Linked DNA regions of Anolis sagrei. The protein of the gene in region 2 purifies or fractionates together with the protein of the main gene of each other region. This does not show direct contact. Links are inferred from orthologs where the notes say so. Each region holds a gene or a part of one and is shown on either strand. Other genes may lie near its edges.

Region 1 (11,052 bases), on a different chromosome or scaffold from region 2:
AATCTCCATAAAAAGGTAAAGGTAGTCCCCTGACACTAAGTCCAGTCATGTCTGACTCTAGGGTGTGATGCTCATCTCCATTTCTAAGCCGAAGAGCCGGCGTTGTCCATAGACACTGCCAAGGTCATGTGGCCAGCATGACTGCATGGAGCGCCGTATCCATATCCCTATCTCCATATCCAGCGTTTATATAGTGACAATTTCAGGACTGATTCCAAAACTAACTCACCATTCCAGGGAGGAGGAACCCACTTCTCTGTGTCTTTGCTGGGGTACATGACCGCTCCTCCATATTGTTTGGCATACTCCACGTCCGGTTGCCACTGCTTTCCTCTGAAGAAAAGAAAGTAAAGGCCAGTGAGGAGCGAATGACCAAGCAACATTCTCACAGGAGCAACATTCACACTTGTCTCAAGCAGACAAAAGTCCTTTCTCCCACCCTCGACATTATTCCACAGATATATAAACCCCACTTGCCTAGTTTCCAACAGACACCTCAACCTCTGAGGATGCCTGCTATAGATGTGGGAGAAACGTCAGGAGAGAATGCTTCTGGAACATGGCCTTAGAGCCTGGGAAACTCACAGCAACTAGTTTGAAATGATGTTATAAAGAGTAGGGGAAAAGTTTTCTGCTGCTCCAGAGACAAGGACACGAAGTAATGGATTCAAATGGGAGGAAAAGAGATTCCACCTAACCATTAGAATCCTAGAGTTGGAAGAGACCTCATGGGTCATCCAGTCCAACCCCATTCTACCAAGAAGCAGGAAAATTGCATTCAAAGCACCCCTGACAGATGGCCATCCAGGCTCTGTTAAAAAGCTTCCAACGAAAGAGCCTTTAAAAGCTTCCACACTCTGGGGCAGAGAGTTCCACTGCTGAACAGCTCTCAAAGTCAGAAAGTTCTTCCTAAGAGAACAGAGAGGAAACAACAGAGAGGAAACAACCAGGCACAGATTAACACCTCCCAGCAGGAGATTTTCCCAGGCTCAGACAGGCCTTCAAATGCTAAACATTCACACCTAACTGCAGCAGGGAAGAGCTCCTTGCCCCACCCCAGCCATTCCACAGATATATAAACCCATTGTCCTAATCCCAACAGACCTCACTACCTCTGAGGATGCTTGCCATAGATGCAGGCGAAACGTCAGGAGAAATGCCTCTAGAACATGGCTCTATAGCCCGAAAAAACCCACAAGAACCTAGTTCTTCCTAATGTTCAGATGGAATCTCCTTTCTAGTTATTTATATATAGCTATCTATATAAATAAAAATGTAACGTCCGTTTGTGAGATTAACATAAATCAAAAACCACTGAACAAATTGCTGCCAAATTTGGCCACAAGTCACCTACTAACCCAAGGAGTGCCCACTACTCAAAAAAAATTGATTTTGTCATTTGGGAGTTGTAGTTGCTGGGATTTATAGTTCACCTACAATCAAAGAGCATTCTGAACTACACCAATGATGGAATTGGACCAAAATTGGCACACAGGACTCCCATGACCAACAGAAAACACTAGAAGGGTTTGGTAGGCATTGACCTTGAGTTTGGGAGTTGTAGTTCACCTACATCCAGAGAGCACTGTGGACTCAAACAATGATAGATGGACCGTTGGGCCGTTATTTCAGTAGATCTGCACGTGGACATTCAACCTTTGGATAGCTCCATCCCACAATATATACAGAGCACGTATTTTGGTTATGTAATCTGTATAAATGTCCATTTTCCACCTAGATTATCAAAAAATGGAGACCCTAATAATGTCTGGTTTAGACTATCTGAAACCCTCACCTGTTTGGAATGCCAATACCCCTCCACAAAGCTCCTCTTGTGTGGAGATTTTAATGCTAGAATTGGGATGGGTGTTAAACAGGTGGAAGGCACTAACTTCGGACAAGATGACCAGGTTACATCTGCTGACAGAGTCTCTCAAGACACAATCAGAAACAAGGCCGATCTGAGTTTCTTAGAGATGCTCTCCTTGCATCAATTGCACTGCCTTAATGGGACACAGTGCGACATAACACAAGGTGCCTATACTTATGTTACCAATAGTACTATTGATTATATGGCAGTTTCTGCCAACCTGTTACCTGATATCCAAAGCTCACTGTGGACTCAAACAATGATGGATCTGGACCAAACTTGGCACGAATATTCCATATGCCTAAATATGAACACAGATGGAATTTGGAGGAAATAGATCTTGACATTTGGGAGTTGTTGTTACTGGGATTTATAGTTCACCTACAGTCAAAGAGCATTCTGAACCCCACCAACGACAGAATTGGGGCAAACTTCCCACACAGAACCCCCATGACCAACAGAAAATACTTAAGCCCATCCAGTTCAACTCTCTTCACCAGGGCAAGAAAAGGTAATCAAAGCCCTCCTGACAAAGAGCCATCCAGCTATAGATATAGATAGATAGATAAACACAGATATATATATCACCTCTCAACAGAACATTTTCCCAGGCTCAGCCAAGCCTTCAAATGCTAATGAAGGTGGTCAGCTGAAACATTCACACCTAGCTTCAGCAGAGAGCTCTTTGCCCCACCCCAGCCATTCCACAGATATATAAACCCATTTTCCTATTTCCAACAGACCTCACTACCTCTGAGGAAGCTTGCCATAGATGCGGGCGAAACGTCAGGAGAAAAATTGCCTCCAGAACATGGCCATATAGCCCAAAAAAACCTACAAGAACCTAGATATATATAGTATTATAGGTATGAAAGGGACCCTTAAAGGAGGACAATGTATATCCAGAGCAGGCAAACCAGACACTCTCCACATCAACACTGACTAAGAAACAACAAGAAATACTGTTTACCCACAAGCATAAAAACATTACAGATATTAGAAACCAACACTTTCTCGGTTGTTGTAGGTTTTTTCGGGCTATATGGCCATGGTCTAGGGGCATTGTCTCCTGACGTTTTGCCTGCATCTATGGCAAGCATCCTTAGAGGTAGTGAGGTCTGTTGGAAGTAGGAACAATGGGTTTATATATCTGTGGAATGACCAGGGTGGGACAAAGGACTCTTGTCTGCTGGAGCTAGGTGTGAATGTTTCAACTGACCACCTTGATTAGCATTTGATGGCCTGACTGTGCCTGGAGCAAACCTTTGTTGAGAGGTGATTAGATGTCCTTGTTTGTTTCCTCTCTGTTGTTGTGCTGTTGTAATTTTAGAGTTTTTTTTTTAATACTGGTAGCTAGATTTTGTTCATTTTCATGGTTTACTCCTTTCTGTTGAAACTGTCCACATGCTTGTGGATTTCAATGGCTTCACTTTCTCATTACTTTATTTTTCAGATCAGCAGACTGGGCCATAGCAACGCGTGGCAGGGGACAGCTAGTGTGTGCGTGTGCGTACACACATCTATACAGTATCATTATACATAGTCATGCTGCAAGTCGTCTCTGGTTGCTTCTGGATCGAGAGAATCGGCCGTCTAAAAGACGTTGCCCAGGGGACGCCCGGATGTCTTGCAATCCTGCGAGGAGGCTTCTCTCATGTCCCAGAAGGGACAGAGAGTTTCATCTATGCTGATGATCGTGCCATTACTGCTCAAGCAGGGAGCTTTGAGATGGTAGAACAGAAGCTTTCCAAAGCTCTAGGTGCTCTTACTGCCTATTACAGGGAAAACCAACTGAACCCTAATCCATCTAAAACACAGATATGCGCCTTTCACCTTAAGAACAGACAAGCATCCCGAGCTCTGAGGATTACCTGGGAAGGAATCCCACTGGAGCATTGCAGCGCACCCAAATACCTGGGAGTCACTCTGGACCGTGCTCTTACCTACAAGAAGCACTGCCTGAACATCAAGCAAAAAGTGGGCGCTAGAAACAACATCATACGAAAGCTGACTGGCACAACCTGGGGATCACAACCAGACACAGTGAAGACATCTGCCCTTGCGCTATGCTACTCTGCTGCTGAGTACGCATGCCCAGTGTGGAACACATCTCACCACACTAAAACAGTAGATGTGGCTCTTAATGAGACGTGCCGCATTATCACGGGGTGTCTGCGCCCCACACCACTGGAGAAATTACACTGCTTAGCCGGTATTGCACCACCTGACATCCGCCGGGAAGTAGCAGCCAATAGTGAAAGGACCAAGGCAGAGACATCTCCAGCTCATCCCCTATTTGGGTATCAGCCAGCACGCCAACGACTTAAATCTAGACATAGTTTTCTTAGATCTACAGAGACACTCGCTGGAACACCCCAGCAAGCGAGAGTCCAAAAGTGGCAGGCCCAAACCAATGGCTGATACCAAATGAGAGACTCCCCCCTGGGCACTCAGAAGACTGGGCGACTTGGAAGGCGCTGAACAGACTGTGCTCTGGCACCACGAGATGCAGAGCCAGTCTTAAGAAATGGGGCTACAGGGTGGAATCCTCGGCATGCGAGTGCGGAGAAGAGCAAACCACTGACCACCTGCTGCAATGCACCCTGAGACCTGCCACATGCACGATGGAGGACCTTCTTGCGGCAACACCAGAGGCACTCCAAGTGGCCAGATACTGGTCAAAGGACATTTAATCAGCTACCAAGTTTGCAAAATCTGTGTGGGTTTTTTTTCCTTTTCCTTTTTAATCTGTGTGTTTGTTTTGCTCTGTTAGAATTGTGATACAATGGTTGCTGATGACACGATAAATAAATATCTAGTCATATTTGATGACGGTGGTGGTGGTAATGGAGTCTCCTTCTCTAAAGGTTTCTAAGCAGAGGCTGGATGGCCATCTGTCGGGAGTGCTTGGATTGTGCCTTCCTGCCTGGCAGATGGGGGTTAGACTGGATGGCCTTTGGAGGTCCCTTCCAACTCTAGATTAAGCCCTATTGGGAGAGGATTCGCGAGCAGACACAGCACCTCCATAGAGAAGAGGTTGCAGTAAGACTGGGAGCCTGAGCATACCTGCTGGGCGCCGCCCCCAGCGCCATCCCTTGCAGCCATGACCCTGAAGGTGTCCGCAGCCTTCCTAGGCACCTCAGCGCCGCCATCTTGCTTTTACGGCTGGACGTCGATTCTGCGCATGCTCCCTTTTGCCCTTCCGCGCACAGAAGCCGCCATTGCTAGTGTGGGCAAGGCCAAACCATAAGGGCTCCACTACAGCGGTTGAGACTCTATGGCCATTCGTTCTGTCGGAAGTGACGTTACTGCCTAGGAAAAAGGAAACCATTTCCGTTTTCTTCCTGTTGTCTGGAGCGAGAAGTCCTGACCTTTTTTTGGAGGACGCTGGGCGGGTGGGTAAACTGCGATGGTGTTGGACTACAACTCCCATCCATCATGAGAGCTGTAGTTCCTTAATATCTGTATAGTCATAGGTTCCTATAGATCTTTTACATGCTGCTGTTGGTAAGGCTGGTAAGAGGAGGGCGACTAGGAAGAACTTCCTGACTGTGAGAGCAGTTCAGCAGTGGAACTCTCTGCCCCAGAGTGAGGTGGAGGCTCCTTCTTTGGAAGCTTTTAAGCAGAGGCTGGATGGCCATCTGTCAGGGGTGATTTGAATGCAATATTCCTGCTTCTTGGCAGGGGTTGGACTGGATGGCCCATGAGGTCTCTTCCAACTCTTTGATTCTTTGATTCTATGACTAAAATGATCAAGGGTCTGGAGAACAAGCCCTATGAGGAGCGGCTTAAAGAGCTGGGCATGTTTAGCCTGAAGAAGAGAAGGCTGAGAGGAGACATGATAGCCATGTATAAATATGTGAGGGGAAGTCATAGGGAGGAGGGAGCAAGCTTATTTTATTTATTTATTTATTTACGACATTTATATGCCACCCTTCTCACCCCGAAGGGGACTCAGAGCGGCTTACACGGTATATATACATACAATATATTATATTATTAGCATAGTACAATATAAGTTTTAAATATTACTGTATTGTACTATACCAATTATATTGTAATAATATTAGTAATATTACATGTAATATAAATATATAATTACAATATGTTATTATTAGTATTATATTGCATTACATTATAATATTATAAATATTATATGTTTATACAATATATATTATATTATATTAAATTATTAGAATAGCACAGGAGACAAGGTGGAACTGTCCCGTGGCCCCCGCTCTCTTCACTCCGGCCCAGAGCGACAGTTGGTGCTGGGGGGAGGGGTCTCCAGCTGATGGCATATGCAGGAGAGAAGATGGTGCTGTCCCCTGGCCTCTCCTGTCTGTCTTCTGCTTCCTTGGAGACTAGGACGCGGAACAATGGCTTCAAACTACAAGAAAGGAGATTCCAACTGAACATTAGGAAGAACTTTATGACTGTGAGAGCCGTTCAGCAGTGGAACTCTCTGCCTCGGAGTGTGGTGGAGGCTCCTTCTTTGGAAGCTTTTAAACAGAGGCTGGATGGTCATCTGTTGAGGGTTATTGAATGCAATTTTCCTGTTTCTTGGCAGAATGGGGTTGGACTTAAGGAGCTGGGCATGTTTAGCCTGAAGAAGAGAAGGCTGAGAGGAGACATGATGGCCATGTATAAATATGTGAGAGGAAGTCACAGGGAGGAGGGAGAAAGCTTGTTTTCTGCTGCCCTGGAGACTTTTAAGCAGAGGCTGGGTGGCCATCTGTTGGGGGTGCTTTGAATGCGATTTTCCTGCTTCTTGCCAGAATGAGGTTGGAATGGATGACCCAGGAGGTCTCTTCCAACTCTAGGATTCTATTATTCTAATAGAAGGGGATTTGGGGATAATCTGTTCCCCCCGGGTCTGTGTTGGGCAGGAACCAGGCCACAGGTTCTATCTATCTGTTAGTCATAGAATCCTAGAGTTGGAAGAGACCTCATGGGCCATCCAGGCCAACCCCCTGCCAAGAAGCAGGAATATTGCATTCAAAGCACCCCTGACAGATGGCCATCTAGCCTCTGTTTAAAAACTTCCAAAGAAGGAGCCTCCACCACACTCTGAGACAGAGAGTTCCACTGCTGAACGGTTCTCACACTCAGGAAGTTATTCCTAATGTTCAGATGGAATCTCCTTTCTTGTAGTTTGAAGCCATTGTTCCATTGCATCCTAGTCTCCATGGCATCAGAAAACAAGCTTGCTCTCTCCTCCCTGTGACTTCCTCTCACGTATTTATACATGGCTATTATGTCTCCTCTCAGCCTTGAGAATGCTCTTTGATTGTAAATGAACTATAAATCCCAGCAACTACAACTCCCAAAAGACAAAATCATTTTTTGAGTGAAGGACATACATTGGGTTGTTAGGTGTCTTGTGTCCAAATTTGGTGTCAATTCGTCCAGTGGTTTTTGAGTTCTGTTAATGAGTGACTCTGCCCTTGTGACTTGGGTCATGTAGAAACAATAGAACATGTGCTCCTTCAGTGCCCGTTCTACAGGGATATCCGTGCCAGGCTTATCTTGCCTGTCACTCATTCTCAAGGGTTTGCCAGTTCAACTGTTTTGCTCATTCCTTTTTGTACTTTTTCAGAGCAACCTGCCAAGATGGGTGGCCATTTTGGGAACCTGGAACGGATGCGGCACGTGATCACTTACAGCTTGTCTCCCTTTGAGCAGAGGGCTTTCCCCAACTACTTCTCAAAAGGGATTCTCAACGTCTGGAGGCGATTCAGCTCCCAGGTCTTGCGTGTGGCTCCTCGTAAGTGAAAAACATTGGCTCGCTTCTTCCATTTGTTGCACAGCTCTTTGTGCAAATGTTAATTTCCATTGAAATTTCTCCTCCTCCCAGCAAAAAACAAACAAACAAAATACCTCAGAACAAAAAGCACATTGGTTCTATATCTATATAAATAAAAATGTAATATTCGTTTGTGGTATTAACAGAACTCAAAAACCACTGGACAAATTGACATGAAATTTGGACACTAAACCCCTAACAGACCAACGAGTGACCATCACTCCTAAAATCCCCCCAAAAAACAGCAGAAAGGACTTTAAAACCCTATAATGCTAAATGACAAAAAGCTAAATGATGAAAAAAGGGAAGGAAGAGGGAGGGAAGGAAGGAGGGGAGAAAGAAAGAGAGAGAGAGAAGGAGGGAGGGAAAAAAAGAAGGAAAAAGAGAAGGAAGCATAGAAGCAAAGAGTAAAGGAAGGAGAGAAAGAGGTAGAGAGGAAGAAAGGTAGAAAGAAAGAAGAAAGAAGAGGAGAAAGTGGGAGGGCAAGAAAAAGGAAAAGAGAGAAGGAAGCATGGAAACAAAGAGCAAAGGAAGGAAGGAAAGAAAAGTAGGAAAAGAAAAAGGAGGGAAAGGAAGGAAAGAGATAGAGAAGGAAGAAGAGAAAAAAGAGAGAGAAGGAGGGGGAAAGAGAGAAGGAAAGAGAGAAGGAAACATGGAAGCAAAGAGTGAAGGAAGGAGAGAAAGAAGTAGAGGGGAAGGTAGAAAAAAGAAAGAAGAGGAGAAAGTGGGAGGGCAAGAAAGAAGAAAAGAGAGAAGGAAGAATGGAAGCAAAGAGCAAAGGAAGGAAGGAGAGAAAGAAGTAGGAAAAGAAAAAGGAGGGAAAGGAAGGAAAGAGGTAGAGAAGGAAGGAGAGAAAGAAAGAGAGAGAAGGAGGGAGGGAAAGAATGAAAGAAGGAAAGAGAGAAGGAAGCATGGAAGCAAAGAGTGAAGGAAGGAGAGACAAGTAGAGAGGAAGAAAGAAAAAAGAAAGAAGATGAGAAAGTGGGAGGGCAAGAAAGAAGAAAAGAGAGAAGGAAGCATGGAAGCAAAGAGCAAAGGAAGGAAGGAGAGAAAGAAGTAGGAAAAGAAAAAGGAGGGAAAGGAAGGAAAGAGAGAAGGAAGGAAGGAGAAAGAAAGAGAGAGAGAGAAGGAGGGAGGGAAAGAAAGAAGGAAAAAGAGAAGGAAGCATGGAAGCAAAGAGTGAAGGAAGGAGAGAAAGAGGTAGAGAGGAAGAGAGGTAGAAAGAAAAAAGAAAGAAGATGAGAAAGTGGGAGGGCAAGAAAGAAGAAAAGAGAGAAGGAAGCATGGAAGCAAAGAGCAAAGGAAGGAAGGAGAGAAAGAAGTAGGAAAAGAAAAAGGAGGGAAAGGAAGGAAAGAGGTAGAGAAGGGAGGAAGGAGAAAGAAAGAGAGAGAGAAGGAGGGAGGGAGGGAAAGAAAGAAAGAAGGAAAGAGAGAAGGAAGCATGGAGGCAAAGAGTGAAGGAAGGAGAGAAAGAGGGAGAGAGGAAGAAAGGTAGAAAGAAAATAGAAGAGAAAGTGGGAGGGCAAGAAAGAAGAAAAGAGAGAAGGAAGCATGGAAGCAACAAGCAAAGGAAGGAAGGAGAGAAATAAGTAGGAAAAGAAAAAGGAAGGAAAGAGGTAGAGAAGGAAGGAAGGAGAGAAAGAGGGATGAAAGGAAAGAGAGAAGGAAGGATGGAAGCAAAAAGTGAAGGAAGGAGAAAAGAGGTAGAGAAGGAAGAAAGGAGAGAAGAAAAGGGAAGGAAGGAAGGAAAGAAGGGGAGAAAGATGGAGGAAAGGTTGGCCACAGCAACGCGTGGTTGAAATTTCCCCTCCTCCCAGCAAAAAACAAACAAACAAAATACCTCAGAATGAAAAGCACATTGGTTCTATATCTATATAAATAAAAATGTAATGTTAGTTTGTGGGATTAACATAACTCAAAAACCACTGGATGAATTGACATGAAATTTGGACACTATACCCCTAACAGACCAACAAGTGACCATCACTACTAAAATCCCCCCAAAAAACAGCAGGAAGGACTTTAAAACCCCATAAAGCTAAATGACAAAAAGCTAAATGATGAAAATAGGGAAGGAAGAGGGAGGGCAGGAAGGAAGGGGAGAAAGAAAGAGAGAGAGAAGGAGGGAGGGAGGGAAAGAAAGAAGGAAAGAGAGAAGGAAGCATGGAAGCAAAGAGAGAAGGAAGGAGAGAGGTAGAGAGGAATAAAGGTAGAAAGAAAAAGAAAATGGGAGGGCAAGAAAGAAGAAAAGAGAGAAGGAAGCATGGAAGCAAAGAGCAATGGAAGGAAGGAGAGAAAGAAATAGGAAAAGAAAAAGGGGGAAAAGAAGGAAAGAGATAGAGAAGGAAGGAAGGAGAGAAAGAAAGACAGAGAGAAGGAGGGAGGGAAAGAAGGAAAGAGAGAAGGAAGCATGGAAGCAAAGAGTGAAGGAAGGAGAGAAAGAGGCAGAGAGACTATATAGAATCAAAACAAGAATTTATTTACTGATAAGAGTTGTATACCTTCTGTCCTCCTCAGTCTCACTACAAAGTCTTTGTGAGGAGAGGTAAATAATAATAATAATAATACTAATAATAATAATAATAATAATAATAATAGACTTTATTTATACCCCGCCACCATCTTCCCGATGGGGACTCAGAGAAACATGGGGAAACTTACAAGCCCAAACAACATATTATATCAAAATAAAACCAAAACATAAACAACATCATCAAAATTACATGAAAAAAATACAATAACAAAATAACATTACAATAAAGTCTTTGAGAGACAGACACAGCTCACGAACTGAGGCTCTTGAATCTTTATTTATTATTATTGTCTCTTTCTTGTATGGTGTTCAGCTGTCTCTAAGATGGTCTCAATATTTAACTCTGACGGAACTTGAATACAACTCATACAGTTCTGACTGGACGTGCTATTTGTTGGCCTTCCAGCCTTTCTCTCATCACCTTTCAGTCACAAAAAGGCCGACTCTTCCAAGAACCTGAAGTGCCTTGCCTGAGGCTCTACTCCAGAGGTCTAGACTGACCCCCAGAAACTGCATAAAATATTAATCCCCCTAACTAAGAAGGGCTTAACTAGGGGTAAACAGTGAGGGTCTTCATGGGGCACGATAGAAATCCTGCAGCACGTTTTGCTTTAGATTTTCAAGGAATATCAACTAATTCAACATACTGTATATACTTGTGTATAAGCCTAATTTTTCAGCCCTTTTTTAGGCTGAAAAAGTCCCCCTCGGCTTATACTCAAGTCAAGGTTATTTATTATTTTACGCTGTTGTTGTTATTATTATTATTATCATTATTTTCATTTTATTTATTATTTTATTCTATTTATCATTATTACATTTATCATTTTACTCTATTATTAT
Region 2 (10,962 bases):
TGCAGTACATTGCTTTAGAATACAAATGCAGTTTGTAATATACTTAAATACAGATTTTGTTTTTAGTTTGAAATGGCAGGTAAAATGAACCATTCCCTAGTGTTTTGTGGTATTTATAAGTAATGCAAGTTTGTTCTCATAAGAAAAGCAGAAGGATGATTGAAAATATTGCAGCCCATGGCAGAAGAGCTGCTGCTTGCACATAGTGATCTTAGGTGAGGACTCAATCTTTTCCTCATCATTCTTTGATCAAAGGTGTGTGCTATAGATAACTTTCCAGGGTCACTTATTCTTATTCATTCATTGCATTTTTATCTTAATCCTCCAAGGTGCTTAAGTTTTGCGTTATGTTACTTTGTTTCTGCAGGAATATTTAGAATCTATATTAAGCAGCGTACAGCAGGACTATTGCTATGTGAACATGTATTTATTTATTTACTCCATTTATATGCTGCTTTTCTCAGCCCTGTAGCCAAAATGGAGCCATTACTCAAGATGCTTTCATACGATAAAAAGAAAACTTAGTTCATTTTTTTCAGGAAATTAGTCTTCGGTAGGAAAGGAGACAGATTAAAGAAGTCAGCCCATACTTGGGCACAAGAGCCCCTAATGCAGAGACAACCTAGAAGACAATATAACCGTTGGAGCCTCGTGGATGCTCTCATTCAAGTCAGAAGGAAACACTAACTTATTGGAGAAAGTGACTTTAACGAGCAAGTCCCCTCTCCCACTAATCAATTTATATAAGCATAGATCCCTCGTAGTTTCCAGCACTTTTCACATGGATAACAGGGTTGCAATAATGTTTGTGATGCTGCTGCTGCTAACACAGCTATGACAAAAATCCTGTTCAGTGTCACTGACATGGGAGGAGAGTCTCTTGATTCTACAGTACCTGTAACCAGCAAGGATCACTGCTTCTCTGTTGCTAAGAATAATGGTAAACCAAATCCTAGGTGGATTTGCTAGGGATCTGGATTCCATACCAAGTTCTCTTCCAATGCATGGAAGCCCAGTTCTCTTTTTGGGATCAAATAAGCAAAACAGGCATTTAGCAGTTCTGTCCTTTTGCTATAATTTGTTAGCATTTTAACATCCTTGGATAGTGCCATCCTTGGCTATTCTCTTGCTTCAAACATACTTCAACCCTCACTTCACGTTACTTCCTGTTTCCCTAGTTGGACTCAGCTCATTTTGAGCTTTATATTTCTGTACACGATTCCTACAAGTTTAGGCTATATGTATTCTCTGTTTTGTCCTTCCTTCCATTCTTTATATTTTTTTTCTTTTTTTACTTCTTGAGTTTACATTGGCTTTTTCAGATGTTTCCCATTTTTCTTCTTTCTTGAAATTGTTTGCTATTGTGCTTTTTGGAACCCCTTCTTCATAAAATTCTACTCATTGTGGTTGCTTGTTTTCTTTAGCATCTCATTGATTTTACTTCATAAAATCGGCTTCCTGGAAATCCAAAGTGCTTTTTGCGATGATATTGATACCCACATGAATAAGAAAAAAAGGGTGTGATCTGTGATCAGCTTTAACACATTGTTAGTAACATCCCAAATGCATGCACTAAAGAGACAGCACGCCTCCTGATTCATCTTCTCAGGCTGACACACAGGTTCCTCTATACCAGGCATGGACATACTTCAGCCCTCCAAGTGTTTGGATTTCAACTCCCACAATTCCCAATATCTGGTAAGCTAAATAGGATTTCTGGAAGTTGAAGTCTAAAACACAGGGAGGGCAGAAATTAGACCATGCCTGATCTATACTATACCATGGAGCAATGAGTTCCCTATCACCAGCACATTTCTTTTTTGCTGCAGTCAGACCTTAAGTTGACTTTCTTCTCGGATTGCAGCATCACTTGTTGCTAATTTCCTGCTTAGAGAACTTCATCATTATGATATTCAGGAAGATGTAGAAAGCGATTGCTTTGTTGGAGTTGGACTGAATCTCGGGTATAGTCTGGTCCTGACGGTGACTGTCCTCCAGTCATTCTTCCTTAATGCTATCATCCTCTTGATTTTCCTTGGCAGTTTCTTCCTATTGATTCTGTAAAAGCAATTCTGTGAAGTCCTTGTGGTCTCTGGTGCTCTAAAGCAGTGTTTCTCAAACTCTGCTCCTCCAGGTATTTTACACTTCAGCTCCCAGAAATCCCAGTCAGCCTACCTGCTGTTGGGAACTGTGGGAGCTGAAGTACAAAACATCTAAAGGAGCACAGTTTGAGAAACTCTGCTCTAAAGAGTGTTAATACATTGCTGAAACAGGTTGACCTTGTCTTCCAAGAAAGTCACCAATTGTACTTGCTGCAAGTGTAGTCGGGGAGGTTTTCTGGCAAGAAAATAAATATCACACACACATTGTAACAGGCCATTATAAAGCAGTTAGTTTTTCTTCTCTTTGAGACTATAATAGCTCTTTGGAATATAACCACACACTGTAAAATGCATGCTGCTAGCTTGTTTCCTCACCTATTCTGCCTTTCTGCTCATGAGAACTTTAGCAAAGTCTACTGGGAAAGATATGTTAATGAGATAGGAAAATAGGAACAAGAGGAAATAAAATAAAGAATGAAAAAAATAAGAAAAAAATCACGTTATTAATGAGACCTGAGGATGAATGATATTTGCACCACACTTTTTGTCAATAATGACGCAACCCACACAAACTTTAATCCTGCAAACTGTACTTCAGCTTCCACTGTTCATAGTAGGAAGAGGAAGGTAAAACTGAGAAAGTCACGCTATATGCTCATGTCTTAAGTTTAGAAAGTTTCATCATAAAATCAAACCCAAAAAATGGATCATTTTTTCCACAGGTCAATGTAGGTGATACATATCAAAAAAGGAACCACACCTTTCACTGAGTAAAGTGGTGAAAAGCCAAAGCATAATTCGGGCTGTCTTCACTACAAACATCGTTGCATTTTCACCAAAGTATGTACCACAATTCCATTTCAAAAGCCATTTATTTTAAAAGCTTCCCTTTTCAACCCTAAATCACATTTTCTGAATTATTGAAATTACATGATGATCCACATGGGGGCCCTTCTGCAATGTTCCCAAACACAAACAAAAATTTTGCTTCTTAGAGAGATGGCCTTTATAGAAATCACTAAGGCAATGTAGATGCCCTCTGAGAAAGGTCTCTCAGAATCTAGGTCCTCCAATGCAGTTGTAAGGTTAGCTTCCTCAGAAGTTGACCACAGAGTCATGCTGTAAGAACTAGACATTTCTAGAGAGGTATTTTCTCAGAAGAAAAAAATACAAATGTCTTTATTTGGAGAGCTTACTGTATAATGACAAGTCAACATGTATGTAAATACTGTTGGTTCCATGGATAATTTTATTTATTTATTTATTTGTGGTATTTGTATACAGTTCTTCTTAACCCCGAAAGGGACTCAGGGCAGTTCACAGTTTGCTCTACTGGGGACTAAAAATAGGTATGAAGCCCAATTTAACATCATGGCAAGGATCTGACAAAACTGACAAAAAATAGGGGTCCTCAAACTGTTGGGGGCCAGACTATAGTTTGAAAAAAACATGAACAAATTCCTCTGCACACTGCACATATCTTATTTGTAGTGCAAAACAAACAAACAACAATACAATACTTAAAATGAAGAGCAATTTTAACCAACATAAACTTACCAGCATTTCAATGGGAAGGGTGGGTCTGCTTTTGAGAGAGTCAAGTTTATTAGGATTGTTGTTGTTGTGTGCCTTTAAGTTGTTTCAGATCTAGAGCAACCCTAAGGCTAAAGTTTAGGGCAGGGGCCAGGTAAACGGCGTTGGAGGACCGCATCTGGCCCATAGGTCTTAGTTTGGGTACCTCTGGTCTAAATAAGTCACCATTTATGCATGTAAAGATTGAAAAAAAAAACAGACTTAAAATTATCTGTAGCACTTTCATGCGATGGAGTTTTGATTTACATTTGATTGTTGCTTTATGCTTGTTCTGTATCTGTTTGGGGTAAGTGGAAAAAAAATGTGGTTTTTTTATCCATGTAATTTATTGTATATATTTCATGTTCTTATGTTTTCGACTTTGTTGTATCCCACCTCGAGCCACCGTATTATTATTATTATTATTATTATTATTATTATTATTATTATTATTACACTATGTAACAAAAAAAAATAAATATCTATTTCTGGTTTGAATTTGTTATTTCCTGTTTAATTGTGCGGTACTGACTTTGAAAGCAGTTGTTCTGCTCCAGAAACGTTGTTTTTGTGGCTGAGGGTAGTACTATTATTTTCTTTGGTCTCAGCACTTCATTTGCAATTCTCCTTAACGAAAATAATGCCATTTTTAATTTTTCAATGTTAATTCTGTTTCTACAGACTTCTAAGAGCATACTGCATACTACAGTAGAGCCTCGCTTATAAACGGGCCAGCAGAACGTTGGATAAGCAAAAATGTTGGATAATACGTAGGGATTAAGGAAAAGCCAATTAAATGTCAAATAATCTTATGATTTTACAAATTAAGCACCAAAACATTATGTTTTACAACAAATTGACAGAAAAAGCAGTTCAATACACGGTAATATTATGTAGTAATTACTGTACTTACAGATTTAGCATCAAAACATCGCAATGTGGATCTGGACGGTAGGCAGAATGCATTGGATAGTACAGAATGTTGGATGAGGGAAGGTTGGATAAGCCGGACTCTACTGTACTTCTAAAATGGAGTCTGAGTCCTGAACATGCCCAGATCTGGTCACATGGTCTGCAGCCCCTCCCACAATATAGTTAAGGAAAACTGTATATCGGTGTTTCTCAATCTTCCTAATGCTGCGACCCCTTAATAGAGTTCCTCATGTTGTGGTAACCCCCAACAATAAAATTATTTATGTTGCTACTTCATAACTGTAATCTTCCTACTGCTATGAATCATAATGTAAATATCTGATACACGGGATGTATTTTCATTCACTGGACTAAATTGTGCAACAAATATCCGAAACGCCCAAATTTGAATACTGGTGGAGGTTTGATTTTGTCATTTAGGAGTTGTAGTTGCTGGGATTTATAGTTCACTTACAATCAAAGAGCATTCTGAACTCCACCAATCATGGAATTGAACCAAACTGGCTGAGTTTAGGGAAAACAGACCTTGACATTTGACAGTTGTAGTTGCTGGGATTTATAGTTCACCTACAATCAAAGAATTCAACCAAACTCAGCACATAGAACTCGCATGACCAACAGAAAATACTGGATAGGTATGGTGGGCATTGACCTTGAGTTTGGGAGTTGTAGTTTACCTACATCCAGAGAGCACTGTGGACTCAGATAATGATGGAGCTGGACCAAACTTGGCACAGATACTCAATATGCCGAAATGTGAACACTGGCGGAGTTTAGAGAAAACAGACCTTGACATTTGGCAGTTGTAGTTGCTGGGATTTATAGTTCACCTAGCATTCTGAACCCCACCAATGATAGAATTGAACCAAACTTGGCACATAGAACTCCCATGACCAACAGAAAATACTGGCATTGTCCTTGAGTTTGGGAGTTGTAGTTCACCTACATCCAGAGAGCACTGTGGACTCAGACAATGATGGATCTGGACCAAACTTGGCACAAATACTCCATATGGCCAAATGTGAACACTGGTGGTGTTTGGGGGAAATAGACCTTGACATTTGAGAGTTGCAGTTTCTGGGATTTATAGTTCACCGACAATCAAATAGCATTCTGAACCCCACCAACAATAGAATTGGACCAAACTTCCTACACAGAATCCCTATGACCAATAGAAAATACTGTGTTTTTTATGGTCCTTGGCGACACCCCCTGCCCCCCCCCCCCCATGACCCCAACAAAGGTCCCGACCCCCAGACTGAGAAATGCTGCTGTATACCAACAAACATATACAATAGAGTAAGCAATTCAAATTATATACATAACAAATGACTAGTATAGGAGGCTGGAAGAAGGTTGCAATTTCCAATAAGGCAGAGGAGGCTAAAGACCGTGCACAACTACAACTCCCAGCATTTCATAGTATTGAGAGCAGTCCAAAATCATTCTCCTGGCTGCTGTAATAGATAGAGCCTGTCTGTGGCTCGGCCTCCGACCGCTAGGCGTCGCCCGAGAGCCTCAATGCGCACAGAAGCAGAGAAGGAGGAGGAAGAGGAGGAGCCCTTTGGAGGCAGGAAGGAAGGGGCGTGGCCGGCGTTGTCCCGGGACCGGGATGATGGGCGCGAGGGTGAGCCGCGTGCTCGGCCAGTTCAACCTGGAGAGCCGCGCGCACCGCGAGATCGGGAAGGCCAAGCCCGCGCCCGCCCCCAGGCACCCCCTCCCCGCCGCCGCCGCCAAGCAGCAGCCAAGTGAGTCACGCTGAGGGAGGTTGAGGCCCTCCAGGTGTTTTGGACTTCAACTCCCACAATTCCTAACAGCCGGTAGGCTGTTAGGAATTGTGGGAGTTGGAGTCCAAAACACCTGGAGGGCCCAAGCCTGGTGTAGGTAGATTCAGCAGCTCTGCAGAGTGAGTTGGCACTTGGATTTCTGCACTGTTTCTTTTTCTCTCCCTTTGCTTTGACTGTGCATGCAATAGGTAATGAATTGCAAACAAGCCTACATCTACACTGCATCATTAATGCAGTTTGACCCCTCCTCCTGAACTGCCAAGGCTGAATGCAGTAGAATTAACCGAGCTGCAGTTTTTCAAGGTCTTTGGCCATCATTGTGTCCCATTCTGGGCACCACAATTGAAGGGAGATGTTGACAAGCTGGAATGTGTCCAGAGGAGGATGACTAAAATGATCAAGGGTCTGGAGAGCAATCCCTATGAGGAGCGGCTTAAAGAGCTGGGCATGTTTAGCCTGAAGAAGAGAAGGCTGAGAGGAGATATGATAGCCATGTATAGGGAGGAGGGAGCAAGTTTGTTTTCTGCTTCCCTGGAGACTAGGACACAGAACAATGGCTTCAAACTACAAGAAAGGAGATTCCACCTGAACATTAGGAAGAACTTCCTAACTGTGAGAGCTGTTCAGCAGTGGAACTCTCTGCCCCAGAGTGTGGTGGAGGCTCCTTCTTTGAAAGCTTTTAAACAGAGGCTGGATGGTCAGGGGTGCTTTGAATGCAATATTCCTGTTTCTTGGCAGGGATGGCCCATGAGGTCTCTTCCAACTCTATGATTCCATTGTTGCCTCCGCAAACTACAACTCCCAGCATCCCCTTAGGAGGGGGCCATAATTGTTAAAGTGTCATCCTGTATTCATTCTTCACACATATACATCACACTAGAGAATAAATCCACTCTAAATCCAGTTTCTGCTCATACAGAATTCTGGGGTTTGTATTTTAGTGAGGCTGTTAAATGCTCCTCCATAAACTGCAAACCCCAGAATTCTTCAGCAACCGGATTTAAAGTGGATTCATTCTATAGTGTGATGAGGCCAATTGATCATCCACACAGTCCACATTTTCACTATGGGTTACTGCTAGGTTGAAGCCAACTTCAGTGCCTTTAATGGGGGCTTCTGTGCCTTTAAGAGGAGGGCATTTCAGTCAGTGTACCTTGAAACACTGAGGTTGACTTTCCAACACAAATATTAAAGGTATGTGGGCCATTTCCAGTTTTTATAATGGCAACCCTACTGGTTTGTGTGAAGGTGATTGCATAGGGAAGGGAGGTGGCCATATTGGCAGGGTAGAAAATCCTTTTGACATTGAAGTTTTCCTTTTGGTGTCCAAGATCTTCTGGAAGCAATGCTGCCCTTTGCCCCTCCCCTTTCCCTGCCTAAGGCCCATTGCAAAGCGCATGCGTCATTGAAGGAGAGATTTGCAGGCTGGGAGTTGTGGTCTGAGAGCCATCTGCAGCTATTTCCATCAGTTACAGGCAGTCCCGGAGTCAGGCCCGTAGCCAGGATTTTAATTCAGGGGTGGGGGTGGGCTGAGTTTGATTGAGGGTGGATGAGGATCTATCCTAGCAAACCTTTTGTATCGTTATCCCAATACCACCATTCACATGGGATATATTGAGCATGGTGATCAGATCATGATATGAATAAACATAACAGTTTAAATAATGTACCAGTAAGGCCTTCTCGCGAACCACCATGAGAATTTGGGGGGGAGGGAGGCTGAAGCCCCTCAGCCCCCCCCCCACATGCCTGCCCAGAGTGTTCAGTCTTTCCAAATTTTGGGATAGATGACTTGCATCTATTCAGTAGATGGATGCAACTAACTATGTGCAGCAAGTCCCCAAGTTACAAACATCTGACTTACAAATTACTCATAGTTAAGAACGGGGTGAGACAAAAGGAAGTGAGAGAAATCTACCCCTTGGAAGGGAAATTCAGTCCTGAAAGAATTTGAATGGGGAAAAGGTGTCTCAGCTAAACCTTGGAAGAAACCTCGTGGGCCATCCAGTCCAACCCCCTGTCAAGATCAGCAAAATCACATTCAAAGTACCTCTGAGAGATGGCCATCCAGCCTCTGTTAAAAAGCCTCCAAAGAAGGAGATTCCACCACACTCTGGGGCAGAGAGTTCCACGGCTGAACAGCACTCACAGTCAGGAAATTCTTCCTAATGTTCAGGTAAAATGTCCTTTCCCGTAGTTTGAAGACGTCCTAGGGCCCTTCCACACAGCCCTTAATCCCAGAATATCAAGGCTGAAAATCCCACAATATTTGCTTTGAAATGAGTTATCTGAGTCCACACTCAGATAATGTGGGATTTCCTGCCTTGATATTCTTGGATATAGGGCTGTGTGGAAGGGCCCCCAGAACCTATCTTGCTTGTAACTTGCTCTCTAAGCTCCAGCATCCTGTCCTCTCCATACATACCCACCATATGCTTTTTTTATCCTGCTGCTTTCTTTTTTGTAATCATTGCACAAATCTTATTGTAAAGTCCGTATTAATTATAAATCTGGTCATTCAGGACATCTGTGAATTTACTCAATTCAGTAGATCTACTCTTAAATGAGGCTTGCAATTCCCGATATTTTACAGATTTTTAGATCTTTTCCAAATGAAAGAAGGAGTTTGTACAGGGCTCTCTAAGGAATTGGCTGCTCTCCCTAGTTAGTAAAAACATCAACAACAAAGTAAAATCACTAGAGAATATAAAAATGTGGATGTCTTATTCAGCCAGGATAATAAACCCTCTATTTATTTTGTTATGTCTTTTAATTTAATAAAATATTTATTTCTCACTGTGCATCTCACTACTTCAGGGCAGCGTACAAATACGATAAGTGGTAGGAAGCAATGTAACAATTTCAGAAGTGTAAAACCACCAAATAGTTTGCACATTTTAAAGCTATGGGGACAGAATGAGGGAACGTATATCCAGGATGGAAATGTCATGAATAAGTGGTTGAAGAAGAAACATTTATTACTAGGCGATCTAGCAAAATTTAATTTTGATGGACCTAGTTATGGCCAGAGGGGAAATTATATGGCTTTTCTGCTAACCCTCTGATCAGTTATTCTCTTTCATGCCTTCTCTGTCGTTCTGGCCTCTCAAAATGACCGTGGCTGGATCTACACTGCCATATAATCCAGTTTCTGAATCCAGATCGCCTCCTTTGAACTGGTTGTATGAGTCTACACTGCCATATAATCCAATTCGAAGCAGATAATCTGGATTCAGAAACTGGATTATAAGGAGGTGATGAAGGGACCTTTGTAAAAAACTTTGAAACTGCCAACAGTCCAGTGAAGAACAATTTGTGTGTATGATTAGAGTATGAATAAATGTGAAATTCAAAACCAATGCTCCAAATGGTGCTATATTAGGGGAGGTGTGTGTTGTTAACAAGACTTCTGAAAATGGCATTGTACTGATTTAGTTACACTGCCTCTATTTATATGAACTTGTTTGTGTCATATATCTTCAAGTAACTTCCAAATTTACAGTAACCCTAGAGTGATCAAACCAGAGGGTTTTTTTCACTGTATGTGTGCCCTTGCCTTCTTCTAAGGCCCCTTCTGCACTGCCATATAAAATCCAGGTTATCTGATTTGAACTGGATTATATGCCAGTATAGACTCATATAACCCAATTCAAAGTAGATAATGTGGTTTTTCTGATTTGATAATCTGGATTATATGACAGCATAGAAGGGGCCTTTGGCTATTTATTAATCGTGTCAGAAGCAATATGAGGGTACAGTTATAATGTATTTAAAAAAGATCACAAACAAAGTTAAAAACTTGGCATTATACTAGATATCCACTTGGAGTGCCTCTGGTGTCGCTGTGAGAAGGCCCTTCATTGTGCATGTGGCAAGACTCAGGTTGCATTGTAGTAAATAGTCTGTGGTTTGCTCTTCTCCACACTTGCATGTCATGGACTCTACTTTGTAGGCCATTTCTTGGTTCTGCATCTTGTGGTGCCAGAGCACAGTGCCTTCCAAGTTGCCCAGCCATCTGTGTGACCGGGGGACAGTATCTCATCTGGTTTCAGCCACAAATTGATGTTCCAGGTTTTAGCCTGCCACTTTTGGACTCTCATTTACTAAGTTGTTACTGCTAGTATCTCTGGGTCATCCAGTAGTTTTCCACAAAGAGGAGGGAATTTAAACCATGGTTTTCAAGGGTCATATTCCCAACACTTAAACCAAACGATTTCCCTATAATTTCTGGAAGAATTGTAACATCTGGGGGGGATGACAAATAATTAAAGATTTGCATTGTTAATGTTTTCTGCTAGGCTCGATTGAATTCCAGGAAGAGGTTACAAAAAAAGATCAACACCTTCATACTCTATTAAAAGACGTTTACGTGGATTCCAGGGATCCCCCTAAACAGGTGAGTAGGATTGTTCATTCTCCTTTTCAGACATATACCAGCAACAAGGGTACTGTCCACTTTTTTGTACTGCAGTTCTAAGTACTTCTTTGTACTGCAGTTCTACACTGTCATATAAAATCCAGATTATCTCCTTTGAACTGGTTTATGTGGCAATGTAGACTCATATAAT

The links.
Region 1: the proteins of NDUFAF4 (region 2) and NDUFS2 purify together in Homo sapiens (co-immunoprecipitation; 3 studies listed by BioGRID and IntAct, with this or other methods). This does not show direct contact. The link is inferred for Anolis sagrei from reciprocal best matches to the Homo sapiens genes NDUFAF4 and NDUFS2.

Annotation. Positions count from the first base shown.
Region 1 is NC_090032.1:14,681,241-14,692,292, reverse strand, and holds the start of NDUFS2 (NADH dehydrogenase [ubiquinone] iron-sulfur protein 2, mitochondrial), read right to left. Parts: upstream 5,058-11,052; 5' UTR 5,023-5,057; coding exon 4,937-5,022; intron 334-4,936; coding exon 230-333; intron 1-229. Other genes in the region: UQCRQ (cytochrome b-c1 complex subunit 8), read left to right, coding at 7,484-7,637. UniProt on the Homo sapiens protein: Core subunit of the mitochondrial membrane respiratory chain NADH dehydrogenase (Complex I) which catalyzes electron transfer from NADH through the respiratory chain, using ubiquinone as an electron acceptor. Essential for the catalytic activity of complex I.
Region 2 is NC_090021.1:100,930,095-100,941,056, forward strand, and holds the start of NDUFAF4 (NADH dehydrogenase [ubiquinone] 1 alpha subcomplex assembly factor 4), read left to right. Parts: upstream 1-6,171; 5' UTR 6,172-6,219; coding exon 6,220-6,355; intron 6,356-10,692; coding exon 10,693-10,790; intron 10,791-10,962. UniProt on the Homo sapiens protein: Involved in the assembly of mitochondrial NADH:ubiquinone oxidoreductase complex (complex I). May be involved in cell proliferation and survival of hormone-dependent tumor cells. May be a regulator of breast tumor cell invasion.